Tamandua tetradactyla: one gene and its partner. The protein of the gene in region 1 interacts with the protein of each later gene in a biochemical or structural test. Links are inferred from orthologs where the notes say so. Each region holds a gene or a part of one and is shown on either strand. Other genes may lie near its edges.

Evidence for each region. The genes of interacting proteins can lie anywhere in the genome.
Region 2: the proteins of CCNA1 (region 1) and MYBL2 form a complex in vitro, tested with the Homo sapiens proteins (2 studies listed by BioGRID, with this or other methods). The link is inferred for Tamandua tetradactyla from reciprocal best matches to the Homo sapiens genes CCNA1 and MYBL2.

What each region holds. Positions count from the first base shown.
Region 1 is NC_135330.1:103,227,369-103,234,686, forward strand, and holds the start of CCNA1 (cyclin-A1), read right to left. Parts: upstream 3,019-7,318; 5' UTR 2,899-3,018; intron 2,406-2,898; exon of another isoform or gene 2,239-2,405; intron 1,869-2,238; 5' UTR 1,857-1,868; coding exon 1,686-1,856; intron 1-1,685. UniProt on the Homo sapiens protein: May be involved in the control of the cell cycle at the G1/S (start) and G2/M (mitosis) transitions. May primarily function in the control of the germline meiotic cell cycle and additionally in the control of mitotic cell cycle in some somatic cells.
Region 2 is NC_135327.1:8,518,815-8,526,766, reverse strand, and holds the start of MYBL2 (myb-related protein B), read left to right. Parts: upstream 1-4,940; 5' UTR 4,941-4,969; coding exon 4,970-4,989; intron 4,990-7,952. UniProt on the Homo sapiens protein: Transcription factor involved in the regulation of cell survival, proliferation, and differentiation. Transactivates the expression of the CLU gene.

The sequences.
Region 1 (7,318 bases):
TTAAAGGGGGAAATGTTAGGTGTCTATGTGTTACTGGAATAAAAATTTAAAACAGCAAAATAGTACTATACAACACAAACTGTGAACCATAATGTAAACCATATATAATTATAGTATAATTATAAAGACGTTCTTTCATTTATTTGTGACAAATTGCCAACAGAATAGTTAAAACTGATTAATTGCAATTAAGGAGTTATTTATATCACAAATAAATGTTTAAAATTAAAAAAAAGCAAAAGAATTAAAGTGATTTGTTTGTGGGTTAAAAAAAAATCAGAACCTTTCTTCATCAAATTCAGAGACTAGAGATCATTGTGTAAGTAGATTGTAGTTTTCTGAAAACCAGAGTCATTCTTTAGCATAGCACCTGGGCCTGTTTTGGCAATATATAAAATGGGCAAATGGGCACACTGGCTTCTCTCATCATGTGATTGAATATACCAAATGCCTGGCTTGGTGCCAGACTTCTTTGGGCTTTCAGGGATCACTTACACCCAAGAAAATCATGCTTTTGCTAGAGTGGATGCAAGAAAGAGCCACTGGTTTGGTTCTGCAAAGGAGGACCAAGACTTAAGTAAAGCATTGTAAAGAGTCTTTGCTCTCTATCCAAAATGGACTAATGTTTTCTTTTGTTTTGGTGATACAACAAATAATTTAAATGTGGTGATTTTTTTCACATTTTGATTTGTCATATATTTGACTTAATAGGGCTAAATCCAACTCACGCCTCTGTTTTCATAGTAAGTGATCTCATTTATTGCTGTGAGAAATGGAGCAATGTACAAATAAAATAATAGACTCTGATTTTTTTAAAAAATCACATTCACTCAAGTTTCTCCAAAGCTTTGAGCAGTACATTTTAGTTATTTCCGTCCACTGGTCAGATACCACAAAAGGCAGATGACAAAGAATTGATAGATGGGCTTCTAATTATCCTCCACTGTATATATAAAATGCATATATGTATTTGGGTGGGTGGGGGGTCTTGGTCTTTCTCAAGCCTTTCAAAATTTCTCAACTCTAAAATGGAAGCTGCCTGGGAAGCTCCTGGCTTCTGTCTCAGATGTGCAACACAGGTTTTTAAGGCACCACTATGAAAGGGCCTGTCTGATAACAGACTTGGGGAAGCATTTCCCTGTTCCAGGATTCATTCTTAGGTGTCCTGTAAGGGTCTGAACTGAAATCAGTTAAGGATGAACTTATAGTCAGATCAGCCAGGCCTGCTACCAGCACACTGCTTGGTAGCCCAGTGCTCTGGCCAGAGCATGGAGGCAGCTGCTCTCAAAGCACAGACTTCGTTGTGAATCCAGTCGGCAGAACCGATCTGTCTCCAACCCTGTCTAAGGTGAACAAGCCAAGGTTGTGCAGGGCTGCGCCCCCCCACCCCGTCCCGCCCTTCCCCTTCCCCAGCAGGCTTGAAAGAACCCAGATCCATGGTTTTGTCAATACACATTTTTTTTTAGCTTAGAACTGGAATTAGTCACATATACTTAAAACAAATGATCCTTAGATTCAGTTAAATTTGGAAAAATAACAAAGGAGGTTGTTCACTATTTCTAGCTGGCAATGGGGCCCGACGAGGCCACCCTTGAAACTGGGTTTCCCACTAGCCCCATGACTCAGGGTTGGAAACCCTCCAGGGCAGTCCTCGGGGCTCCACGGGGCTCCAGGGCTGCTCTCACCTGGCCCCAGGTCCTGTACTGCCCGTTCTCAGTGAGCACCCCCAGCACGGTCCTCTGGGGGGCGTCCTGACCGAGCTGGGCCCTGGTGACCATCTGACAGGCGTCGGGGCCAAGGGTTGCTGGAGCCAGGATGATACGGCTCCTGGAGCTGTTCTGATGCCTGCCCTCCATCACCACTGGTGGCTGCCAGGAGAGAGGAGGGGCGACCGAGTTAGCCAACCGCCCCCACCCGGCTCCAAGGGCGCAGCGGATCGCCAGGAGGCAGAGCATCGAGGCTAGGCTCCCCTAGCAGCTGGAAGGGCTGGAAGGACGCGAGCAGCAGCACCAGGCATCAGAGCCCTGGAAACCTCCAATTGCTGGAGGCAGGACCACTGAGCAATTCCCAGGTAACCTGGGGTCAAAACCAACAAGCCTCTCCCTGCCCTAAGCTCATGCCCCCTGATTCCCAACCAAAGGCCCAGGAAACAGCACTGCGGGAATGGGTGTCCCCTACACAGGTGCCACGCAGGTGCTGCTCCGCAGCCCTCCTCCCACCGGACTGAGGCCCCCAAACCTGCTTGGAGGCCCCGACAGCCCCGCTCGCCTCGGCGTTAGATGGAGGTGTGTTAGATGGAGGTGTTAGGTGGAGGTGTGTGTCTGGAACAATCAGCAAGCGCCCACCAGGAGCAGGGCGGCAGGGGCGCCCGAGGGGGCGGGGCGTGGGCGGGGCTTGGGTTCCGGCGGGGCGCCGACTCCCGCAGCGACCCGGGCGCTGAGCGGGCCTGCCTGTCCCCCCACCCGCTCCGCTCGGGCCCCAATTGGCGGCGTCGCTGGGACTCGCGTGGCCGCTCCCATGCCAACCGCAGCGGGCGCACGCGGGGCCCGCGTCTCCATCGCGACCCCTTCACCCGACGCGCCCGGGGCTGCCACCTCGCCGGGGTCAACGGGCACGCCCAGCTCCTGCTGCTCGGCCGGGCTGTCCCGGGCGGGCCACGGCACCCGGCACCCGCTGCGCGTCTCGCCGGCGCGTCCGGCCCGGGCGGGAGGCAGGATCCGGCCCGCGATGGCCAGGCCCGCGGTGGCCCCGGGACCGGTTCCCCCAACAGCCGCGAACTCCTCCCGCCAACGTCTCTCCGCGGCCAGCTCCTGCGAACTCTGGCTCGGGAGAGCGACGCGGCCCCACCGACCGCTCCGGCCCGAGGGCGCCGCTCGCTCCCCAACGCTGGCCACGCACCTAGGCGTCCTCGCAGACCGCAGCCGGGGGTGGCGGGCAGACCCCGGGGTGGAACCGCGGCGCTCTGTTCATGGTGGCGGCCCGCCTTCGGTCACTCCCCGGCCTGCGCGCTCCCGGGGCCACGCCTGGCCCGCCTGGGGCCCGGGACATGGTGCGCGGCGGGCCACGGAAGGGATCTGGAGTTTCGGGGCACACGGGGTGCCCGCGGCCCCCACGGGAGGCCTTCCCGGACCGCTGCCGTCGCCATGGCGCGAAGGGTCCGGGAGCGCAAAGAGAGTGGCCCAGGAAGAGGAAGGAACGCGGGTGGCAGCGATGAGGCTGGGGACGTTGGGGAGATGGGGAAGTGGGGAGGGGGAGACACTGGCGAGGCCCGGAAGTGGGAGGTGGGCTGGCCACGTGGGGAGGGCCCTTGAATTGGAAGGCCCACCGTACAGGTGAAGGAATCCAAAACTTTCCTAGATGGATGAAAGATTGAAGACATATACATACAACCCATAGGTGTGAATCTGTGGGTGCACATCCCTGCAGGTACAAAATTGTCACTGCTGTGTTCAGCCGGGAGTGGTTTATTTTTATTTAATATTTTTATTGAGAAATCCTCACACCATACAGTCCATTCAAAGTATACAATCAATGGTTCACAGTATCATCACATAGTTGTGTATTCATCACCAAGTTTTATGGATTTTTAAAAATTTTATCCTATTACCGTATATTCAATATAACATTTCCCTTTTAACCACTTTCAGAATAAGCTTTCTTATACAAATTGTTGTAATATGTCTAAGTCAATTCATTATGCTGTTAAAATGCATGCACATTAGTTTTATATTGTATATGATATTAGTTCTTATATTGTACATTCACACAAAAAATATTGAGACTAGATAACATTTCACCACATGATAGGATCAACTAAAAAGAAATTATTGACTTAATTCTAAGTTTCAAAAGTTATATGGATGACAAATACTGTCAGGTTATTTAAATTTTGCAATACATTATGCAAACTATAAGTGTGCTTATGTATGATATACACTCAATCATATTAACAAATAACTGAACTAAAGTTTAATTACTGAGAACACTCTTTAAAGATGAATAGTAATTAGCACCTGTAAGAGTCATGCTTCTTTCAGGTATTTTACAATGGTCTATCACAGAAAATAAAGCTTCAGGAAATCTTCACATGTGCAAATCACAAAGAATGCAGTTGAAGTGATCATTTTTAATAGCTTCATAAACTCTGATTCCATGCTGTTGGGTTCCATCTGCACTCAGAATAGGAGCAGACGGAAGAGAAATATCACCACTTAAAATCTGAGTTGTGTCCAGTAGTTGTGGATGTTCTGCCATTATCAATAAGGCATTAATATACCGGATAACCCTCCAACTAACACCCGGCGTGCTTCCCAGGCCGTGTCAAAAATTCAAAGACGCAGGTACTGGCACCAGGCGAAAAGGAGTCAACGCAGAAGGGCGTTTTTTCCCAGGTTTTAACCCCAGGAGGGGCGGGGGAAACTGTCTTCAAAAGAACATTCAAGTTCGGTGGCGGCCGGCCGCCTCTCTGTCGCCACCTCAGAGTGGTTTATTCTTAAAATCAGAAGCTCCTATCCCTGATTCTCTGAAGTAGATAACTGCGACAAACAAGGGTTTGTTTCTGTCTTATTTGGAATGCACGTCCTGGTCCTTCTTAGCATTCCAAATGTCCAAGTGTTCTTTATTAAGTTTTCATCCCGCGAACTGGGTGTGCATTGTTTTGGGGAAAATATAGGTATTCCCATAGGGCGTGGGTGGCAGCCGCTGGGGGGCGGGGGTCAGATGAGAGGACGCCGGAGCGCGCTTGGGCTTGGGTGCTGCGTGCGCAAGGAGCGCAGACATCCATTCTGTGCGGTAAGAATCCAACTTCTGCACGTCGGTCACGGGTTGCAGTCGCGGGGAATCAGTGATCCCCTCGCACCCCAAATTCCCGTGCCTTTGGGTGAGAAGGCAGCCCAGAGATGTGGAAACAGCTTGGTGTCCAGCGCCAAGAGACCTCGGTGTTGGCGCTTTGCCAGATGGCTCTCTGGGGTAAAAAAGGAGCTTTTCTGTCTGCTCCTTGCCTGGCCTTCACCCCACTTCCACCTGGCGGAGCCGTTGTGATTTCGGGGACGCTGGGGCCTCCGTGGTTACCTGGTCTGGGTCTCAGGAGCAAGTTGGTCCAAGTGGCTTTGGCAGAGATCAGGTCACACGCCCTGACCCCTGTGACTTGCCTTTCGATCCGGTTTCCTCCGGCAAACCTAACCAAACCCTCCCACCCTTTGCTTTTCCTCTGAAACAGAGAAGCCAGTGCAAAGTTTGTGCTTGAAGCTTGCCATGTTGAATCTTTTTCCTGGGATTAAAGCTCGAGATGGGAAAGGGGTAGTGACAGGAAAGTTCCTGTTGGGACAGCCCCTTAAAGTTGGGTGTTTCCACTCAAATCGTGATCAGAAGTGTCCTCCTCTATATGCTAGCTTCAGTTGGAAAGATAGCCTTTAAAACGTAACTGTCAACCAGCTGGAACCTTTTTCATACCTTTTTCCTTGTATATCATCATCTCGGACCAATAGCTGAAGCCCAATACATCTTTTTTTTTTAATTTTTATTTTATTTTTTTAATACCAAAAAACACATAACAAACGCAAACATTCCAATTTTGATCATTCCGTTCTACATACATAATCAGTAATTCACAGTATCATCACATAGTTGCATATTCATCATCATGCCAATACATCTTTATATGCATGAAATAACTATTATTATTGTTAAAATAATAAAATAGAAAAAATAAAATTATTACTATTACTACCACATGTCAACATTATCTCTTCTCTCTCCACGCATATTGTGAAACTTGCCAAAGGGAAATGAGAAATGACTTATGATTGTTTTCTCTTTGTGCTGCTTTAGAATTCCATATTAAATCAGAGCTCTCCAGTCAGATCTTAAATTGGAGACTGATTTAGATAAACTGATACTTGTATATATTTATATATGTGTGTACATATAAATTCAAATGTTTCTGTAGCTTGTATAGCTTGTGTAAAAGTGTGACTTTCTTGACTTTAGCTGCATAAAAAAACTTCAAACCATTTTTTTGATACAAACTTAACTGATGAATATGTGCACAAGTTTTATATAAAATATCTAACTAAACTTAAAACTTGGCAATAGAATTAAGAAAAACAGGAGCAGAAAGGACTTTTTCACAAATTACATAGTTGCAATGAGATGCATAATTATAATTTTGCTATGCTGGGGAAAGCAGGATTGGAGTGCAAGGTTAATAGATTTTTAAATTTCTACAAGTTTTACATAAATTATGTATTGACTGTACACTATACTGGGAAGTGAATTGTACATTTAATTGTAAATGCAATTTTCTTTAATATCTAAAATATTTGGCTTAATGAAGTTATATATATAAAGCATCTTTTTAATTTCAATTAATTTGGGCAGCACTTCCTACTTGATATTCAGTGCTCAGCTAATTTTGACGCTAGTATTAATTTCCATACCAGAGGTGACAGCTGAATTCTTTCCTTGTTTTTTTAAAACCCAGTAGTCCTATTAAAATCAACTCCTCTTCCCCACCTAACCCCCAAATTACAATTCAAAGACAGTCTTTTCTGTTTGCCAGCAATTTACCTGGCATTTCAGAAGCAGTTATTACTTCGATCACATTTGCTCATTGTACCTAGTAATTAGCCTCCTGATCAAGCCTTTCGCTTTTCATTAATCAGCATGAAATCAAGTTGATTTTTGGCGTGGGGTTGAAAGAGATGAAAAAGTAGAAGAGCTGATTTTATTTCAGGGCAGAGGTACATTTAGGGGCATGTTTTGCATGTTCATGCCTTAGTCCATCTTAGGTGTACATGTAAAACGGAAGGACCAGTGGGGGTGGCGGGACATTCACAGCATCTTAGCCCATAACTCCAGAAGGCTATGTGGACCAAGCATGCCCCACTTACTAACGAGATGCAGCCACAAATTTACATAACGGTGAAGTAAGTTTCCATTTAGAACATGCCAAACAGTCATCTCTATAGAGTGAAAATAGTTTGAATGCATACATGAGATTAGCCAAAATCTAATATTCATTCATTTTACAAATAATGTTTGGTGCACCCATCATATGCCAGGCAGCAGCCGTGTATGAGGAGAACAATGAAGAAGGCTTTGTTCCAGCCAGGACACCCAGAGAGGTAACTAGATAATAACAGTGTAGCTAAATTAGTGTTTATTTCAACAGGGTGGGTGCAGGTGAATAGAAGGTAGCCACTGGAAGTCAGAGAAAAGAAGCAATGCATGTTGCTCTGGATATTTGGAAGCAGAACCCAGATCTGATAATGAAAAATAAATAAAAGTTAACAAACAGGGCAGGTGGTATAATCTACAT
Region 2 (7,952 bases), on another chromosome or scaffold:
CTTGCCGGGTGGTGCGACTCCCGTGATGCCTCGCGCGGGCTCGATCCGGCGAGCGGGCTCCCTAGAGCTCTGTGCTCGGGCTAGAGTTGATGGTGGAGTTCGGCTCCACCTACTCGCCAGGAGCCTCAAAGCTGGTCACGTCACTTGCCCCCAGTCACCCGGTGGGTGGCAAGAGACGCCGGGTTGACTCTAAGACTTGATTTTTCTCTCTCCATCTTCTCAGAGAGACGAGGATGATTTCCACCGGCCTCTGGACAAAGACCTGGTGTCCTGCACCGCCCGGTTCCCTCCCTGATTTTCCGCTTAAATCTCGTACCCCGCGAGCCCTTCGTGCTTGATTGCTGAACTGCAAGTGGTCATGCTGCAATTGAAAGAACCAAGTCTTGGGTGTACGGGTGGTTCAGTGGTAGAATGCTCGCCTTCCATGCGGGAGACCCGGGTTTGATTCCTGGACCATGCACCTGGGGAAAAAAAAAAACGAACTAAGTCTTTGCGAAAGCTGATGCCCCAGAAGGCCTAAGGTAGAGAGGTCAGGGGTGTGTGACTGCACGTGGTATTAAAGCCCAATCGCCAAAGTTCTTACACTTAACAATTGCAATAGAGTACACAGCCAAAGCTGGCATGAGCCTGGACAACCCCAGGCAAGGTTGATCATCCATCCTTTGGTCACTGACCCTAAAGGACATGAAAATTGAACAAATCCGTTACCCACCAAAACTTCCTTCCTTCCTTGACAACCATTGTCACTTTAGATTGGTTTATTACTATAGATTATTTTGCAATTTCTAGAATTTTAAATAAATGAAGTCATACACTATATACTCTTTTTGTCTGACTCCTTTCACTTAGCATAATTTGAGATTTGCCAAGTAATACTACATCGTGTGGATACACTACAATTTATTTATCCAACGACCTGTCGATGGACATGTGGGTTATTTCCAGTTTGAAACTATTACAAATAAAGCTATGTTCAAGTCTTTGTATGGACATAAGCCTTCATTTCTCTTATATAATCCTAGGAGTGGAATGGCAGGGTCATATGGTAGATATAGGTTTAAGTCTTTAAGAAACTGCTATATTGTTTTCCAAAGTGGTCTTTAACAAACCACTAAAGTGTTTTTCAAAGTGGTTGTACAATTTTATACTCCCACCCAAAATATTCAAGAAGTATAATTACTCCCCATCTTCACCAACATTTAACATTACTCTTTTTAATTTTAGCTATTCTAACAGGTTTATAAATCCCAGTTGGTATTAATTTTCATCCTGACAACTAATGATGTTAAGTATCTTTTTATGTGTGTTTTGCACCTAGATATATTTTGAAGATAAGGGTTTGAGGCCAATAGTATTTACTGATAGATCAGATGAAAGCGATGTGAGAGAAGAGTCAAGAATGACTTCATTTTCTTGCCAATCCCTGAGTATTTCCTAATCCTTCCTGCTATGCACTGGCTGCTCCCTCTGCATGAAGTACTATTCCCCACAATGGCTACCTTGCAAATTCCTTAAGTCACTCAGTTTCGAAAAGCCTTCAAATCTGCTCTTGGTTAGGCACCCACAGTTCTTGTAGTTGATCTTCACCCTTAAATGGCTAATTTTCTCTTTACTCCTTGTCTCCCCTATCAGCTGGTGAGTTTCTGGAGAGTATGCATGGTTTGGATTATCTCATTATGATAGCCTAGCCTCAATTATTTCAGCATATTTTCACAAACAGTACTTTCCAAATAAACATTTCAAATTGTGGGTGCTTTGCTGCAAGCTGGGTAATCATGACAACTTAACATCTTTGTGCCCAAGTTTCTTTATCTTTAAAATAGGGAACCACATAGTCCCTGCTTCACATTGAGGTGAGCGTTAAATGCAAGATGACTGTAGAACATGTGCCACACGTTTTCTTCCCCAGTAATATCTGGCACATGTTTTCTTCCCCAGTAATATCAAGCTATTATTTTCTGAACTGAATACTTTGCTGTTCCTTTTCTGGAACTCAAACAATATAACTAATTTGCAAATAGTGTTTTACTGAAAAACAGTCCTTTGTTTCAAAGTCTCTCTCAATGTTCTATACCACACAAGATAAAGTTCAAACTAGCATTCCAGGTCCTTTCAGTTCTGGTCCCTGCCTTCCTAACTCTCCACCTGAAATGTTAGTTTGTAACATTAAATTCACTCAAATTAAAAAAATGTGTGAAACTCCTTCCATGACTACCTGCCAAGAGTCAAGCAATAGGGTAAAGGTCTGAAGCTAAAAATATGATTGTGGAATTGCCCTCTGCACTGGAGAGAACCACAAAACTGGGGGTAGAGTAAGTGTAGTTAGGAGGACACATATGACAAGGAGGGTGCTCAGTAGGTAGAGAGGGAAAGACTCCAGGCAGAAGGGCCATGGGATGCTACTCATCATTTTTTATGTCCAGCCTGGTGCGAGGCCCTGAGCATTTAATAAATAGATTTGATCCTTGACTTCCCAATGCAGGAGCAAGGCTTGGGTCTGGGACCTGGGGTGGAGCAGACTTGTCTTCCAGGGGCAGACTGTAGAATGACCAAATGGCTGATGCCTCCCTGCCTGAGAAGGGCATGGTCAGGAAGTCTGCCAGCAAAGTACAGTTTGTGTGTTATTAATTCTGGGCCCAGGGACCATTCCCTGGTGAAGCTACATCCAGGATGCAGGGAGTTCTTTCTTGGGGTGGGGAGGAGGTGCCTGTTGGTATGATAACTAGAGACAATATACTGGTGGAGATTACCAGATTTCAGCTGGCACTAGGATGATCTCCTTGCTGCCTGAACACCTGTACCGACTCCAGGCCCCTCCCACTCCAGTGACTGGTCAAGGGGCCTCAGTTCTAGGTTCCAGGTGGACTTCAGTTGCTTCCTGCCTCTTGCTTTGGGCAAATATCCTGAATCTACTGCCAGGTCTTGTCCATCCCTGTCCACATAAGAGTGTGTGGTGTGTGCAAAGGGCTCCCTGGACCTCAAAAGAAAAAGTGAGGGTAGCAGAAATGTTACAATAATAAAAGCTAATAGTAATAGGGTACTTATTATGTGCCAGGGACTGTCCTCAGTGCTTTGCACATACTAATTTATTCAATCTTACAACCACCCTACAGAGGATACCAGTGAAGTGATTACGAGCATAGACTCTAGAGCTAGACAGTGCAGTTTCGAATCCCTACTCTGCGATTCACTAGCTGTGTGACCTTGGGGAAGCCTGTGATTCAGTTCCTCCATCTGCCCAAAGGGGATAAAACTAATGACTACCCCATAGGGTTATTATAGAGATTAAATGAATAAATGTTTATAAAGCACACAGAACAGTGGCTGGTACAGAGTAATAGCTATTGAAGTTTTTAATAAATGCCTTTTTTGTGTGTATGCTATATGGCGGGGTCATATGTCATTATTTTTCCATGTATACTGTCATTGCAGCACCACTTGTTGAATTTGTTTATTTGTTTTATGGGAAGTGCATGGACCAGGAACCAAACCCGGGTCTCCCGCATGGCAAGCAAAAATTCTACCACTGAACTACCCCTGCACCCCCCAGTAAATCCCATTTTTGTAGATGAGGGAACTGAGGTACAGAAGAGTGATTTTCCACTAGTAAGTGGTGGAGCTGGGATCCAAACTCCAAGCAGTCTGGTTGAGAGCCGGAACTCTTAAATTATGCTCCAGCAGTGAAGAGGGGGTGTCCACATGAATTACTTTATGAGAAAAGTAATTACATTGAGGTGGGAGGAGCTCTGAATGAAGTGATGTGGAAGGTTCTAGCACTTACCATGTCAGTCTTCCTCATGCTGTGGTAAGTGTGCCGCTGCTGGCCAGACTGGCCAAGGTGGCCAGCAGTTTCTGAAAGAGGGATCCATAGCACAAGCAGGGTCTCCCAAGCTCCTGCCCCATAGTTCATTCACTTTGGCCCCAGCACTACCAGGGAGTCCTGGGTGCAACTCATGGCAAATCCTCTCTATACTTCTAGGAGTTTAAGTAGGTAAAAAATTAGAGTCAGCTCGATAGACGTTTACATGGGGCCTTGGCCAAGGTTTGAGCCTGGGGATAGCGAGGGGGCTCCAGAGGCCTTTAACCCCAGATGTTCACAGTTCAAAGGGGGAATCACGCAAGTGAACAAGCAGATTGCGGGCAATGGGCAGCAAAGATAAATAAGAACTGGCCAAGTTGGAGGGGTGGAAAGTGTCTCTGGTCCAAGCAATGGCAAGAAGGCTAGGAATTTTCCTTTGGCCCCGGGCGGGAGGGGAGGGCGGTGATCGCGCAGAATCCTGTAAGACTGAATAGGGAGTAAGGAATTTACCCGGAGGAAGAGAAGCGAGGGCTTCAAGTTCTCGGAGACGGAAGGTCAAGTTTGCATTTTAAAAGGGTCGGTTGGGCTACGAGGAGACTTCGAGGCTGGAGAGGAAACGGAGACGAAGGAGCAGCCCTGGTCCAGGTAGGGGCTTGTGGGGACCCAGGAGCGCCACTCGGACTACTGGGGCTTTTGCACAGACAGTGTGCCCGACGTGACTATCCGTCGTGGAGCCTCCCTCGCGCTCGGCCTGAGCCAGGCATCAGTCACACGGCAGCCCGCGGCGAATGGCAAGTTCCAAGACGCCTGCCACTCTCACGCTTTCCCGGGGCCCGGGGGCTCTGAAGTTCTCGGGTTCCGGGCCCGTGTGGCCCCGCCCCGCCCGCAGGCCCCGCCCCCCACGCACGTCCTCCCGCCCGCGCGTCAGGCCCCGGAGGCGCCGTCGCGCTTGGCGCGAGATAGGAAAGTGCTTCTGTGCGCGCCGGCGGCTCGGCTGCCCCCGCAAGCGGGCGGCGGGACCTGCGGACAAGCTGACGGCGCCCAGCCCGGCCCGGGGGCCCCGAGCGGCCGGAGCAGCCCGCGTCCTGGCCCCGGCCTCGGCCCGGCTCCCGCTCCGGCTCCTGGCTCAGCCGGCGGGCGGGCGGGCGCAGCGCGGCCCGGGCCGGGGGGATGTCTCGGCGGACGCGCGGGTGAGCAGGGCAGGGCGGGCTGAGGGTCCCCTGCCCTTCCCCTCCCCCCACCTTCCCCACCTTCACCCATGCCTTCGCCGTGATCCCTCTGTGGGGGTTTCCGCGGGAAATGCTGCCGCCTGGGCGGTCAGAGGCACGGGCGCGCGCGAAACCGGGGGGCTCTCGGGAGCCCCTCGCTCCGCTCTTCGGGCCTCCTCAGTCTCCGAGCCGTGGCGGGCGGGTCTCCTGGGACCCGGGCCAGGCCCTGCATGATGTCATTTTGTCTCCCGCCTAATTACGGCGTGGGGGTGGGACGGCCGGTGTCAGCTGGAAAGGCTTTTACATGGGAAGGAAGCGATCCCTGGAGAGGGAAAGTGACCCTTCGAGTCACAGTAAAGTGGGAGGTTAAAACCTGGAAGACATCCTTCAGACCTCAGTTACGTGCACATTTGCGGGTGGGCATTTCAACCCAGCATCCCGGGAAGCATAGCACCCCAAACCCTCTGCCGCGGCCCGAGGAGGGTGCTGGCCGGGGGCTCTTTTGTCTCCTCCATCTGGGCTCCGGGCCCGGACAGGTTTAGCTGCAGAAACCCCTCTTCCTGTTCTACTCGGGGAGTTTTGGCATCTAGGTTTGCAGGTGAGGGGAAGAGAGCCAGATGTGTATGGAGTCCGCTGGGAGCCAGCAGCCCCTGGGGTAAAGGCAGGAACTGCGGTCTCTTACTTATTCACTCGGAGGATAATTGGCAGAGTCGAGCTTGGAGCCGGGTCCATGGGCCCCAGTTCCCTTTGTCACACTTGTGTGCCTGGGGCCTGAGCTCTGGGCTTTTTGGCCAATCTGGGAGTCAGGGGACAGTGGTATTCCACCCCGTTCCCTCCCTGGAATCGTTTGGCCCAGACAAACCTTAGACCCACTGCAGATGGTGGTGTTCACCTTCTGGGTGGAGGTTACAGACCTTGACTCATAGCTGGCTTTCCCTGCAGTGCCTCTTAGCAGGGAAGTCCCATCCCTGGGCAGTGGCAAGGTCCCTGACACAGGGACTGTCTTCCTCAGGCCACAGTATCCTAGGGCCCGTCCAATTGCCAGGAGTAGTTTTCTGGTCCCTGGAAGTACTGGGGCACTTGTCAGACCCTGTCTGATTTTTGGTTCAGGAAGTATTGCTCCAGGAAGTGACTATCCCCACTCCATCCCCAGTTTCTCCGCAGTTGCATCTCCCCTGAAGCTTAGTGGAGTAACCTCCCCCCACCTCCTGTGTGGGGGATGGGTCCCCATCCTAGTACCCCCACAACCCTTAGCTGGTTTCCTGGCCATTTACTGTAATTATCCACCCCAGTGCCCTTGTTCCTCCTTAGGCTCTGACTCACCCTGGCCCTGGAACAGAGCCAAGCACAAACAACAAAGCAAAAGAAAGGATATGTGGGACTGAAATGGCAAGTGGCTTAACACTATGCGCCTCCACTTCTACATCTGTTAAATGGGAGTAATGGTAGCGCATATGAAGGGGACAGCCAGCACCATGTCCTGTGAGTATATTATCTCACAGGACTCCCTCAGCTGTCTGAGATGCTGTCCCATTAACAGAGCCCTGAGGCACCAGTTCCAGGCAGACACACCTTTAACCCTTTAGGGAACATTTGTTGAGCTCCCGCTAGAAGCTACACCCCATGCTGTGTTGCTGGAGAAGCAGAGGCGATTTCTTTCAACAAGTAGTTTGGGGCAGCTTAAGCCAGTTTCGTTTTGCTTTTAATATTTTGTAAATTTTCTGCCTGCTACTTTGCAGTGATGGAAGGACCCTGTACAGTGGGGTGCAAATGACGGGATGAAGCTGATTAGTTAAACAAGCTTGCTTCCTCTCCTGTTTGTAAAAATTTTGCTTGAACATTTCTTGTCAGCTAATAGGCAGCAGTTCCACATGTTTTTTCATTTTTTGTGTATCCGGCCATTCCCTGAGCAAACACTCATTAAGGCCCTCCATTGCCAACCCACATCTGGTCCTCTGTGGATGTAGAGATGTTGCTGACCCAAGATAATCGTAGAGGAGACAGACAGCTGCAGCCTAAGAGCCTACATTCTGAGACAGTTTTTCCGTTGTGCTGTAGAGCGACTCTAGGAAGTGATGCCAGGTTCTAGCGAAGAAGGGGAAAAGAACATGGACATGAAAGGAAGCCTTCTTCCTTCCTCTGGGCACAAGTCCTGCGATCGCCTTGGTCATTTGGAGATGTCTAGGCTTTTCTCAGTTTACGAATTCCTGACTTAAGAGTACACGTTATGAAGGCGACCTGGTGTAGGGCCCTGATGCATGGCGTTGGAAGGTTACTAACCTTCCGTGGGCACCTGACATCCCTGGAGGTGAGCAGTGTGAACCCCATTTTCCCAGCCATTAAAATTATGAGGCTTTTGGAGCAACTTGGAAAATTGCCTGTTCTAGAATAAAATAATCCATAATTCTCTGACTCTGCCTGTGTGTAGGCAAAGATTGAAAAGGAATATGCAGAAATGGAAATACTTACTGAGATAATGATTTAATTTTTTTCCCCAGAAAGTTAGTACTTTCTTAAAATCCTGTTATAATCCGTGCATAATGATTACATTTATCATCAGCATTAATCCCTACTCTATCCATACAGGTTGCGGGTATTCTGCAAGTTAAAAAAAATTGTTAAATCCAGAAGAAAAACATGAAATGGGAGTCTGGTTTTGAGTGTCAATGATAACATTCTGGGTGAAACCTTAACCTTTTTTGGGGGGGTGTACCTTTTGAAACATTAAAACTTTTGTTAAAAGAAAGAGGATGAAGGAAAAAAACCACCCATAACCACATTTAATTAAAATTAAAAAGAAGAGTAGGGTGGAAGTGCCTGATTTTTTCAAAAGTATAGAAGTGTAAAGCCTTCCTCCCCCAGACCTTGCCCTGGAGCTGACAGGCCGCCGCCAGCACTCAGTGCCTGTCGGTCAGGTAGCATTAAGTGAGAGTACGTGCCCTTGA